Zea mays: one gene and its partner. The protein of the gene in region 1 interacts with the protein of each later gene in a pairwise test. Links are inferred from orthologs where the notes say so. Each region holds a gene or a part of one and is shown in the gene's direction. Other genes may lie near its edges.

Region 1 (6,505 bases):
ACCAAAGATAATTGGATAAAGTAGTAACACTATGATAGTACTACATAGCACATTACATGTTCCATTACATGATCATTAAATTGTTGTTAAATAGTAAAAAAATTGGATGACTGAAGTCCAAGTTCATGCTTCAGATAAGTTTATATTGGGTATTTTATACCCACGGGTTAACGGGTATGGGTGAAGGCGGAACGTTCTAATACCCGTTTACCCATTGGGTGAAGATTTTTGCCCAATAACAGACCCACGGGTAGAATATTTAGCCCACATACATACCCTAATGGAGTAAATACCCATCGGGTATCGGGTCGCGGGTACCCATTGCCATCTCTATTTTCTCCACATCAGGAAAGCTGGAAGAGCCTTTTGAACTCAGTTTTTTTTGCTAACTGTGGTGTTATGGTGAAATAGAGTTTTGTGTGTATGTACCAACAACTAAAATGTAAACACGACATTATCATAGTTGAGTTCAGGAATAATTATCTCTTATATCTTATTGTAAGATCCGAAACAGTTCTCCTGTAGATGGTTAGCTTGCATTTTACGCTACAATTACCTCAGATCACTTCTTGTTGTATCTTACACCAATTTATGAAATTTCTTGAAGCGTTTTATGACAACCTCGTGCGCTGAGAGATACATTCGGTCTACATTCGTTATTATGAAATAGATGGACGATTTATGCTAAAATCCGTACTCATTTACGTTGTTTTGGTTCACGATTTACGCTTAAAACCGTCCGAGCCAGAATCCGCGCACGACCGATGGCGCGTGATTTTTGCGCCGTAAATTTGGGCTCCATTCGCCATTACGAAACAGATATACGATTTACTCTAAAATTCGTACTAATTTACAATGTTTTGGTTCACGTTTTACGCTAAAATCCATTCGAGCCAGAACCCGCGCTCAATCGGCCGCACACGATTTTCAAGCCGTAATTTCTGGGTCCATTTGCTGTTACGAAACAGATATACGACTTACGCTAAATTTCGTAATCATTTATGTTGTTTTAGCTCACGTTTTACACTAAAATTCATTCGAACCAGAACCCGCGTACGATCAGCCGCACGCGATTTTTACGCCGTAATTTCAGGCCTCATTTGCTGTTACGAAACAGATATACGATTTACGCTAAATTTCGTAATCATTTATGATGTTTTAGCTCACGTTTTACGCTAAAATCCATTCGAGCCAGAACCCGCGTACGATCGGACGCACGCGATTTACACGCCGTAATTTCGGGGCCCATTTGCTGTTACGAAACAGATATACGATTTACGCTAAATTTCGTACTCATTTATGTTGTTTTAGCTCACGTTTTACGCTAGAATTCGCCCGAGCCAGAACTAGCACACGATCGGACGCGCATGGACCTGGCTGGGGTTTCCTGTACTAATGGAAGCCCTGGACTTTCATTAACTCCTCTCTCTCTCTCTCTCTCTCTCTCTCTATATATATATATATATATATATATATATATATATATATATATATATATATATATATATATATATATATATATATATATATATATATATATATATATATATATATATATATATGTGTGTGGTGCCTTTCTTTCAAAACATATTATGCAACGCGTACCGTATCTCAACAAACACCTTCAATAAGTTGAGTCGGGGTAGATCTCAAGGCTACATAAAATAGTTTTTTTTCTAGAATGGATGCATTTGTTTTAAGAGAAAAATGATGCACTTGGAATGCATCAAGCAAAGGGATGTAAGAATGTTGGAAAAACACATGAACCCGTATCGCGAGATGCTTATTTATCCATTCTTTATCACAGTGGATGCATATGCAACAAAACCAAAACAGATGGTTAGCGAGTGACAGTATATAGAGATCTAAAGTTGTCCGACACTTCATCGGTAAAAAAAGCAGCATAACCGAGTGAATGGAAGAAAAACGAATTTCTCATATACACAGCAGGTTTTCTTAAAAAACGTTATATCGGTATTATATTAAGAAGAGACCAAAATATGGTCCTGTCGAGAAAATTTCTAAACATTAGTTCTCATCACCAGTGAGCCGTCACCATCTAGTTTGCAACGGTCCAGTTAGAGTGCACTCAGGACTCGCAGCGAGAGAATTTTTTTAATCAAGCCTAAAATTCACTTTCGGACAAATCGAACTACTCATAAATATTAACCATGAGACCTTTTCGCCGCAGCAGGTTTTCTATCGGCCGTTAGATTTTAGTGACGATGAAAATGATAGAACGCAACGTGCCGCATGCATCCATTCCCATTCGTTTTCCACAGTACATGTAGGAGTACTGTGCAAGTAGGGTCCGTACATTCAGTCTCTCTCACTAGTTGGACTCTTCTACTGCTACAAAGACATGAGCTGCCGGGAATGGGAACCGGAGGAGCGAGCGAGCCTGACGGTCTCACACACACAGTCACACTCCCAAGCCAATTATTATAAGAGGCGAGATGAGCAACTCCAGCTCTTAACCAATCCACTCCTCCTCCCTCTCCACCTCCTCTGCTTTGCTCTGCCACTCTGCTGAGGTGGGGGGCAGAGGAGCTCCCCCTCCCTCCTCTCCCCTCCTCGCCATGTCTAGCAGCGACCCGGAGGAGATCAGGGCGCGCGTCGTCGTTCTCGGTTCGCCCCATGCCGACGGCGGCGACGAGTGGGCCCGGCCCGAGCTCGAGGCCTTCCATCTGCCGTCTCCCGCCCACCAGCCTCCTGGCTTCCTAGCCGGGCAACCGGAAGCAGCAGAGCAACCCACGCTCCCTGCTCCTGCTGGCCGCAGCAGCAGCAGCAGCAACACGCCTACTACATCTGCCGGTGGCGGCGCTGCTCCTCCTCCTCCTTCTTCGCCTCCCCCTCCGCCGGCTTCTCTGGAGACCGAGCAGCCGCCCAATGCCAGGCCAGCCTCCGCCGGCGCCAATGACAGCAAGAAGCCCACCCCGCCCGCCGCCCTGCGCGACCTCTTCCGCTTCGCCGACGGCCTCGACTGCGCGCTCATGCTCATCGGCACCCTCGGCGCGCTCGTCCACGGCTGCTCGCTCCCCGTCTTCCTCCGCTTCTTCGCCGACCTCGTCGACTCCTTCGGCTCCCACGCCGACGACCCGGACACCATGGTCCGCCTCGTCGTCAAGTACGCCTTCTACTTCCTCGTCGTCGGAGCGGCAATCTGGGCATCCTCGTGGGCAGGTACGCTATCCCTCCTCCTCCTGCCGCCCCAGCTTGTGTGCGTCGCGAATTGGCGGTCAATTTGGATTGGATGACAAATCACGTCGGTCAGCCAATCGCCGTGGCTACAAACGAGATGTTCAAATCGTTCGCCCCGCTCGCAGAGATCTCTTGCTGGATGTGGACCGGCGAGCGGCAGTCGACGCGGATGCGGATCCGGTACCTGGACGCGGCGCTGCGGCAGGACGTGTCCTTCTTCGACACCGACGTGCGGGCCTCGGACGTGATCTACGCCATCAACGCGGACGCCGTGGTGGTGCAGGACGCCATCAGCGAGAAGCTGGGCAACCTCATCCACTACATGGCCACCTTCGTGGCCGGCTTCGTCGTGGGGTTCACGGCCGCGTGGCAGCTGGCGCTGGTCACGCTGGCCGTGGTGCCGCTCATCGCCGTCATCGGCGGGCTGAGCGCCGCCGCGCTCGCCAAGCTCTCGTCCCGCAGCCAGGACGCGCTCTCGGGCGCCAGCGGCATCGCGGAGCAGGCGCTCGCGCAGATACGGATCGTGCAGGCGTTCGTTGGCGAGGAGCGCGAGATGCGGGCCTACTCGGCGGCGCTGGCCGTGGCGCAGAGGATCGGCTACCGCAGCGGCTTCGCCAAGGGGCTCGGCCTCGGCGGCACCTACTTCACCGTCTTCTGCTGCTACGGGCTCCTGCTCTGGTACGGCGGCCACCTCGTGCGCGCCCAGCACACCAACGGCGGGCTCGCCATCGCCACCATGTTCTCCGTCATGATCGGCGGACTGTAAGGCCCACCACACCACGCACTCTCTCCTTCTGCTGCTCCTCGGCCCGCCCCCGTCGTCATTGCTGCTGACGGTATCTGTGGATCGCGTGCAGGGCCCTCGGGCAGTCGGCGCCGAGCATGGCCGCGTTCGCCAAGGCGCGTGTGGCGGCTGCCAAGATCTTCCGCATCATCGACCACAGGCCGGGCATCTCCTCGCGCGACGGCGCGGAGCCAGAGTCGGTGACGGGGCGGGTGGAGATGCGGGGCGTGGACTTCGCGTACCCGTCGCGGCCGGACGTCCCCATCCTGCGCGGCTTCTCGCTGAGCGTGCCCGCCGGGAAGACCATCGCGCTGGTGGGCAGCTCCGGCTCCGGGAAGAGCACGGTGGTGTCGCTCATCGAGAGATTCTACGACCCCAGCGCAGGTATACCTAGTACTGTTACTACTTTTAGCGCATTAATCTGAGGATGTCCAGTTCGCTTGCTTGCCAATCGCCATTGCCATCGCAACAACAATACTTCGCCAACTGCCATTGCTGGGTAGACTAGTACAGTAGCAGTTAGAAGAAGCCTCCACTGTACATTGCATTGCCAAACAAAAGTGAATTGTGCAGTAACTCTGTACCACCACATTGACATGGAAATGAAGTGAATGCTTGGAGCATGCAGAGCTGGCCGGCCTCATGGGCTGCTGCTACCTGCTAGCTAGCCAACCAGAACCAGCCATCCTCTTTCTTGCTTTTCTTTTTACTTTCTTTGGTCGTGGCTGTTTGTGGTCATACATACATTCACGCAGAGCAGAAGAGCTAGCTAAGCTAGGTGGGTGTGCCTGCAACGCGGGACAAAGAAAACTATTTGTTGCCTGGCAAGATGCTACTGTTGCCTAGCACATGCCTGCCATTGACCGACTGCTCAGTGAGAAGTGGTTCAGTTGTGCTGTTGACAGTATAGATAGATATATATAGTAGCCCTGTAGATTTTTTTTTCAGACAAAAAAAGAAGAAGAACGAGATGAAGTCTGCAATTCGGTTTTGGCAGGGCAAATCCTGCTGGACGGGCACGACCTCAGGTCGCTGGAGCTGCGGTGGCTGCGGCGGCAGATCGGGCTGGTGAGCCAGGAGCCGGCGCTGTTCGCGACGAGCATCAGGGAGAACCTGCTGCTGGGGCGGGACAGCCAGAGCGCGACGCTGGCGGAGATGGAGGAGGCGGCCAGGGTGGCCAACGCCCACTCCTTCATCATCAAACTCCCCGACGGCTACGACACGCAGGTCCGTCCCGTATAGCTAGCTCACTAGCTGCACTGCCACTTCTCTCGCTTGCTCCCCACCGTTGCTGCCTGTTGCTCTCCAATCCACTTGTCGGTGTCTGGACCACACGTGCCTGCTTGCCTAGCTGCTCCACATCTGCTTTCCCTGTCCAACCTTATGCAACTCACTCTAATACTATATCAAATACATTTCTAGAGTTTAAAGCTTATCTTAGAATAAATGCATCTTTAGCTACGAGACAACCTAACTTCAGTTGTTGTTGTTGTTTTTTTTACTTTCTCTCTTCTCACAAATACTATGATTACGTCTTTACAGCGATCTTTTTTATTCCAAACCTAAAAATGCATGCACTCACTCTAAAAGCGCAAAGGGAGCATCTTTTTTTCCCCCATCATCTGCACGCAGCCTTTTCTTTTCCTCATGTCACGAGGGACTGAAGGTGTGTATGCAGCGTCAAGTCATCCATCCGTTCCACTCCACTCACTCATGCGTCGCGCACTCTGCGCTCGTGCCTGCCCGGGGCTAAAGCTTTAGTAGCTAGCCTCAGATCAGATACTGTTCGTGTTTGTTAGGCCGCGGCAGCTGCACATGAGCTCATGACAGCCGGCAGCACCACCACCAACGCCATGGAAGAGGGGTCGGGGTCCATCACATAGACATAGATGCCTGTTGTAGACTAGGACGGGAGGGCAATTGTTAGGCGCCTGTTGCCATCGCATTTGCTGCTGTGGGTTGCCAACAAGTAACATGCCAGGATGCTTTGCTATCACGCACAGGACAGGAGAGGTCCTTTTTCTCGACACAAGCTCTACAGCCTCTACTAAACTAGCACTTGCTGATGAGTGCAGAGGATGAATGGACGATGAACATCTAGAGTGAGAGAGAAAAAAATGTTAATAATAATAAAAAGTAGTAGCAGGATTAAGAATCAACCTGGGGTACGTAGGAAGAGGTACAATCCCTAGGAATCTAGAGTATGAGAAGTATGGGAGGAGTTGGGGGAGTGAAACGGAACAAATTCCGAGTTGGTATTTTGTCGGGAATGTCAAGTTGATTTTTGATCCTAGTGCAAGCAAGAATTATCAATCACTCAGACTCAGCCTGTCTGTGTCTGTCCACCCCAGCTCTTGCTACTCTACTTACTACTGTGCTACTAGTGGTAGGGTAGGTATCTTACATAAACTGTTATTATAAACTGTCATCTGAGAAAGAGAGCCAGTCAAACCCATGCTGCTGCTTATTTTAATCACTGTCAAATGGCAGGCAGGCAGGCAGTCTGGTTAGTTAATAACA
Region 2 (6,372 bases), on another chromosome or scaffold:
GGTCTCGTAGTAGACCACCTTCTTCATCTTCTTCTTCTTGTCACCTCTCTATTGTGACTTGATGGAGGAAGAGGATTCCTCCTTGTGCTTGTGGGCGGACTCCCTCGAATGGGTTCTCCCCGAGCTTGCGGATGCTCCCTCTTAGCGAATGGGTCGCCGCCGGTCCCGATCTCCCTCTTGGCGGATGCTCTCGACATCACTTCGAGTGGTTAGACTCTTAATGAAGTACCGGGCTCTGATACCAATTGAAAGTCGCCTAGAGGGGGTGAATAGGCAAATCTGAAATTTACAAACTGTAAGCACAATCTACAAGCCGGGTTAGCGTTAGAAATAAAAGTGAGTCCAAAAGAGAGGGCGAAAATAAATCACAAGCAAATAAAGCGGATGACACGATGATTTGTTTTATCGAGGTTCGGTTCTTGCAAACCTACTCCCCGTTGAGGTGGTCACAAAGACTGGGTCTCTTTCAACCCTTTCCCTCTCTCAAACGGTCACCTAGACCGAGTGAGCTTTTCTCCTCAATCAAATGGGTCACTTAGACCCCACAAGAACCACCACACAATTGGTGTCTCTTGCTTTGATTACAAAGGTGTTGAGAACAAGAATGGAAAGAAGAAAAGCGATCCAAGAACAAGAGCTCAAAGAACACGAGCAAAAACTCTCTCTCTAGTCACTATTTGCTTGGAGTGGAAATGGGACTTGGAGAGGCTTTGATTCTATTTGATTTGTGTCTTGTATTGATTGCACTAGCTCTTGTATTGAATGTGAAGTCTGAAAAACTTGGATGCCTTGAAGTGTGGTGGTTGGGGGGTATTTATAGCCCTAACCACCAAAGTGGTCGTTGGGGAGGTTGTCTGTCGATGGGCGCACCGGATAGTCCGGTGCACCACTGGATACTGTCCGGTACGCCAGCCACGTCACCCAACCGTTAGGGTTCGACCGTTGGAGCTCTGACAGATGGGGCCACCGGACAGTCCGGTGGTGCACCGGACAGTCACTGTTCACTGTCCGGTGTGCCTTTTGGCGCTGCTCTGACTCTGCGCACTCTGTCCACGCACTGTAGCGCTTTTACAGGTTTCCGTTGGAGTCGACCGTTGCGCTGTAGCCGTTGCTCCGCTGGCACACCGGACAGTCCGGTGAATTATAGCGGAGTGACATTTCCAGAATCCCGAAGGTAGCGAGTTGGAGTTGATCCACCCTGGTGCACCGGACACTGTCCGGTGGTGCACCGGACAGTCCGGTACGCCAGACCAGGGCAGCCTTCGGTTTCTTTTGCTCCTTTCTTTTTGAACCCTATCTTGAACTTTTTATTGGTTTGTGTTGAACCTTTGGCACCTGTAGAACTTATAATCTAGAGCAAACTAGTTAGTCCAATTATTTGTGTTGGGCAATTCAACCACCAAAATCATTTAGTAAAAGGTTTGACTCTATTTCCCTTTCACCTACCAAATGTCTTGTCGTGCACGTGAGCTCGTCCCCTTAGTCTCTGTTTGTTTGGACCCACCTGACTACGTGTCTGTACCCAACAATGAGTATTAAGATGGTTTAGTGTAGAATTTAGTTTAAATTTCACATAAAATTACTCCAATACAGATGAATTGAAGGAATACATTGGTATAGTAGCCCCTCCTAATTTGATATGTCCCCTCTAAACTCAAATTTTGGCTTCGCCTGTGAGTTTAAGGCTACCATCTTTCTCTCTCTCTATGTGATTAAGGCTCCTCAAACTAATAGTTAGCTACTAAAAATTAGTTGTTGGGTTCCAAACACCATCAGCTAATATCGACACTAATTGTTAGCTATCTCACAGCTAACAATTAGTTCATTCACTCGCTAACTATTAGCTCTATAGGTTCTAAACAAGACCTAATTATAACGAGGTAGATTAGTTATGTGTTTTTATGTTTTCTTAGAAGACAGTAGAGCTAATAGTTAACTGCTATAATTAGCTAAATACATTCAAACAGTAGCTAATACTTCAACAATTAGTTATTTTTAGCAAATTAGCTAATAGTCAACTAGTTATTTATTAGCTAGTTAATTTTAACAGTAATTTTTAGCCAACTAACTATTATCTACAGTGCATTCAAACACCCATTAAAAAGGGCTTAAAATGAGTTTAGATCATGCCCCGGGTGGCAATGGCTTGTATCCGTCTCTCCATGTATAATTTATTTTATTAAAAAAACAGAAGCACAAACTACCGCAGCTTATCAAGCAAGCGCTACGGAGCGCAGGTCACCGAGCTCTGGCCCGCCCAAGTTCACTACCCGACCCGCCGCGCCGCAGTCTAGAAGCTTCTGCCGGCCGTCTGCGGCCCGCCCATCCGCAACCCATGGCTGTCGTCGAAGAAGACGCTGCGGCGTCTGCAGATCCCGCCGCCGCGTCCGATCCCGCCGCTGGTGAGTACCCTCCTCGCGCTCGGCCACTACTACCGCCCCTACCCCACTCGTGGCTGGCTGGTGCTCAGTGAATCGGGTGCTGGTGGCTTGCTCATACGTTCTGTTGGGGATTCTGGCCATTTGGGAGATTTGGGCCGCGGTTACTTTACAACAAGGCAGTTTCGGATCCCACCACACCCGCGGCTTGCCAATTCCTGCCGCACTACACTACACTTCCCTGAATTGCAGTGTGGCTATAGACGATAAGATTCGGGATCTGTGTCAAGACGCAGACTCCCCGGTTTCTGACTTCTGCTGCTTTCTGATTCTCAGGCTCCAGCGAAAACGAGATCACAGTAGAAGAGGCTTCTTTCGTGCATTCTGAACCTCCCCAGGATGGCAGCGCCCCACCCGTGGTTTCCTCTGACATGGAGGCCCTTCACGACAAGGTTAAGAAGCAAATCATCAAAGAAGGCCATGGCAGGAAACCGCTGAAGTTCGCGACGTGCTTTGGTGAGTACGGCGTAGGTGGTTCGGACCATATGCTCATGCTCCGGATGTCGAATTTTAGGATGAGCTAATATGCTGTGCCTGCCTGTCCTGTTTCTTATTCTATAACAACGATATCTTGTATGTGTTTCGTTTGAGCGACCAAGATCATGAGATGCTTATGGTTGTGTCAAATTTCAAAACTTCAGATTTTAACCCTGTTTCGTCCAAAGCTGCCTAATTCAGTCGTTGCACGCTAGTTTGATTTTGATTTAGCACGCATGAGAACTGCCGTGAATTTAACTTTTTTTTCTTTTTCTAAACTTGGTGTTGCAGTGCACTATAGAGCATGGGTTCAAGGATCATCGCATAAATTTGAGGATACCTGGCAAGAGCAACATCCAATTGAACTAGTACTTGGAAAAGGTGCCACAACAATCACTTCGCTTATTTTATACTTAGTTTTACTCGGCTCCGTGCATTTCACCCATCTATTCCATGAATGCAAACAGCTTACATTGCATGCTATTATGCCTTTATAGTACAATAATGATGGTTCTTAGTTACGATTCTATATAACCAGTTATCCTTCAAGTAGTCTGTCATGCCTTCTATTTATGATTTAATTTGCTGTAAGATGAAAGAGTGAAATATACATAGTTAGTTGTGATTTGCACCCTTTTTATGTTGCATTGCCAGTAAGCCTACAGGTACTGGGTAACTAGCCTGAGAATCATATGGACAACCTCAGCTGTACAACAGTGTTTATCAGTGATAATTGCCTATGGGGAAACTTTCTAAAGCTTTCTCCTCAATCAACAGAGAAAAAACAAATGTCTGGTTTAGGCATCGGTGTTGGCAGCATGAAAAGCGGGGAGCGTGCATTGTTGCATGTTGGTTGGGAGCTAGGCTATGGCAAAGAAGGAAGTTTTTCATTCCCAAATGTCCCTCCAATGGCAGACCTTGTTTATGAAGTTGAACTCATTGGATTTGATGATGTTAAAGAGGTAAGAAACAAAGGTCTACTGCCTCCACCCCACATTATGATTCACTTATATTATTCTTTTGAAGAGTAGGCTGAGATTATTCATATTGGTTAGCATTACTTACTTTTCTCAATGTGGGAAGTTCCAAATAATGATAAACTGTGAATCAGGGTAAATCCCGAAGTGACATGACAGTTGAAGAGAGGATTGCAGCTGCAGACAGGAGAAAGATTGAGGGCAATGCATATTTCAAAGAAAAGAAGCTTGAGGAGGCCATGCAGCAATATGAAATGGTTAGTAGCATGCTATACTTTGGACATTATTGTAGTTATCAGCATATTCTGATTTCAGTCGACCTGTTCTCTTCTACAGGCGATTGCATACATGGGAGATGATTTCATGTTTCAATTATTTGGAAAGTACAGAGACATGGCCTTGGCTGTGAAAAATCCATGCCATCTCAATATGGCTGCATGCCTGATCAAACTAAAGAGATTCGATGAAGCTATTGCGCAGTGTAGCATTGTATGTTACTCGACCATGCCCATAAGTACATTCAGTCTTGAACCCACGATTTACATTCATGGGTACATTTTTACAGTTTACGGCTTTGCATAGACCTTAGCAAAAAACTATACAGGATTGTATGTTCCAACAGTAACATTTTTACAGTTTACGGCTTTGCATAGACCTTAGCAAAAAAATATACAGGATTGTATGTTCCGACAGTAACAGCATGATAATTTTTTAAATGGTGTTAAAAAACTGTAGCAACTAAGCTCATATCAACATGAAAGATTCAACATTACAGGTATCGAACAGCTGATTTGCACATTTCCAGCCTTTCTATTGCAAAAAGGTGTTGGTCTCATGATGTTTCATGAAGTGAACAATCCCATGGTCCTGATACAAAATCAAACGAAAAAATTACCATTTGATGGATTATCCTTTTTGTAAACATATTATTCAGGTTTTGACAGAAGATGAAAGTAATGTCAAAGCGCTGTTCAGGCGAGGAAAAGCTAAATCTGAACTTGGCCAGACAGAATCAGCGAGGGAAGATTTCCTCAAAGCGAAGAAGTACTCCCCAGAAGACAAGGAGATCATTCGGGAGCTCCGTTTGCTCGCGGAACAAGACAAGGCACTATACCAGAAGCAGAAGGAGCTCTACAAAGGTCTCTTTGGGCCAAGTCCTGAAGCGAAACCGAAGAAGGCAAAGTACCTCGTTGTGTTTTGGCAGTGCCTGGTGTCATTTATCCTTTATCTGGCTGGGATGTTCAAACGGAAGAACGAGTAGGATAATTTACCAGAAAATTGTGTAGAACTGGTGGCCTAATTGACCAACCTTGTATTATAAGGAGTGTTGAATTTTCTGTAGAACTGTCGGCCGGTCCGGATCAATTAGTTGTTATGAACTCTATACGATGTTGTTCACTATTATGCCATAGTTTCATACAGTCTTTCAACTGGAGCTCAAAGGGCCTTTTATGCCATTGTATATTGCAGCTTTCATATTTAGATTATGCTAGTAATAATACTGTTGCTACAACTGGAGCTCTAGATTTCACTCTCCTGTTGGATGCTGCTGCAATAGAAACTGCAGCTGCTTGCACAAAGCACAGGCTCTCAGTTCATTGCTATGGCATGTTGGCATCACAAACATTTGAGTGCAAGCAGCAGGCGGCGTGCCTGAACACACGCTCCTGATTCCATCATCAAAAGACAAGTGTTCCAGTTCAGAAAACGTGCCTGAACACACGCTCCTGATTCCATCATCAAAAGACAAGTGTTCCAGTTCAGAAAATCGGAAAGAATTTGTTTATGTAAAATATATTTATATATTATTATTAGTAAGATGTCGGAGATATTTATGTGCTACATTTATTATGGAAGAGTGAAACGAAGAGTGTCATGTAAGTTACAATAAAAACAAATTATATTAATGCATAAAATCATTTCACATCCTTCACGTCATAAATTTGAGATAAACTATATCTGAACTTTAGAAAGTATTGGAATATCAAATTTCAAACTAAATAAATTATTTTATTAAGTAAATTCTAATTTCTATAAAATGAAGGGATCTAAACACCCTGTTAGTGAAAAATCACAAGACACGCTCCTCATGTGTCTTTCCAAATTCTTTAGTGAAACAGACCCTATCCCTGAACACACGCTCCTGATGCCATTGCCATCATAAGAATTCCATTGTTCTACTTGCTCCGTCTTGGTCAAACTTTTTAAAGTTTGTTTAACGAAATGAATTACTCCTATAAAAATATATATATCGGGTTGGACCCTGTACCTGATGGATGGCCCTATACATCAGGTCGGGCTAGGCCGTACCCGTGAAACATTAGGCTGTGTCGTGCTCGTACTTAGCAAAAATAACGGGCTTGGTGCCGTGTTATTGGGCCGAGGGCTTCTTGAATAACGGTCCTGCTCCTGCCCTCCTGAGCACACAGCAGTAGAAAGCTGCGTCCCAGCCCATGTCAGCTCAGCGTTGCATGTAAAGT

What was found. The genes of interacting proteins can lie anywhere in the genome.
Region 2: the proteins of PGP1 (region 1) and Peptidyl-prolyl cis-trans isomerase FKBP42 interact in a two-hybrid assay, tested with the Arabidopsis thaliana proteins (2 studies listed by BioGRID, with this or other methods). The link is inferred for Zea mays from reciprocal best matches to the Arabidopsis thaliana genes ABCB1 and TWD1.

The regions. Positions count from the first base shown.
Region 1 is NC_050096.1:206,630,023-206,636,527, reverse strand, and holds the start of PGP1, read left to right. Parts: upstream 1-2,503; 5' UTR 2,504-2,579; coding exon 2,580-3,183; intron 3,184-3,326; coding exon 3,327-3,963; intron 3,964-4,058; coding exon 4,059-4,369; intron 4,370-4,982; coding exon 4,983-5,212; intron 5,213-6,505. UniProt on the Arabidopsis thaliana protein: Brassinosteroid exporter that, in conjunction with ABCB19, supports the accumulation of exogenous brassinosteroids (BR) in the apoplast, thus promoting BR signaling initiation involving the specific receptor BRI1 and required for plant growth and stress responses.
Region 2 is NC_050097.1:149,009,656-149,016,027, reverse strand, and holds Peptidyl-prolyl cis-trans isomerase FKBP42, read left to right. Parts: upstream 1-2,195; 5' UTR 2,196-2,335; coding exon 2,336-2,402; intron 2,403-2,714; coding exon 2,715-2,894; intron 2,895-3,206; coding exon 3,207-3,296; intron 3,297-3,692; coding exon 3,693-3,877; intron 3,878-4,026; coding exon 4,027-4,149; intron 4,150-4,228; coding exon 4,229-4,381; intron 4,382-4,826; coding exon 4,827-5,153; 3' UTR 5,154-5,334; downstream 5,335-6,372. UniProt on the Arabidopsis thaliana protein: PPIases accelerate the folding of proteins. It catalyzes the cis-trans isomerization of proline imidic peptide bonds in oligopeptides.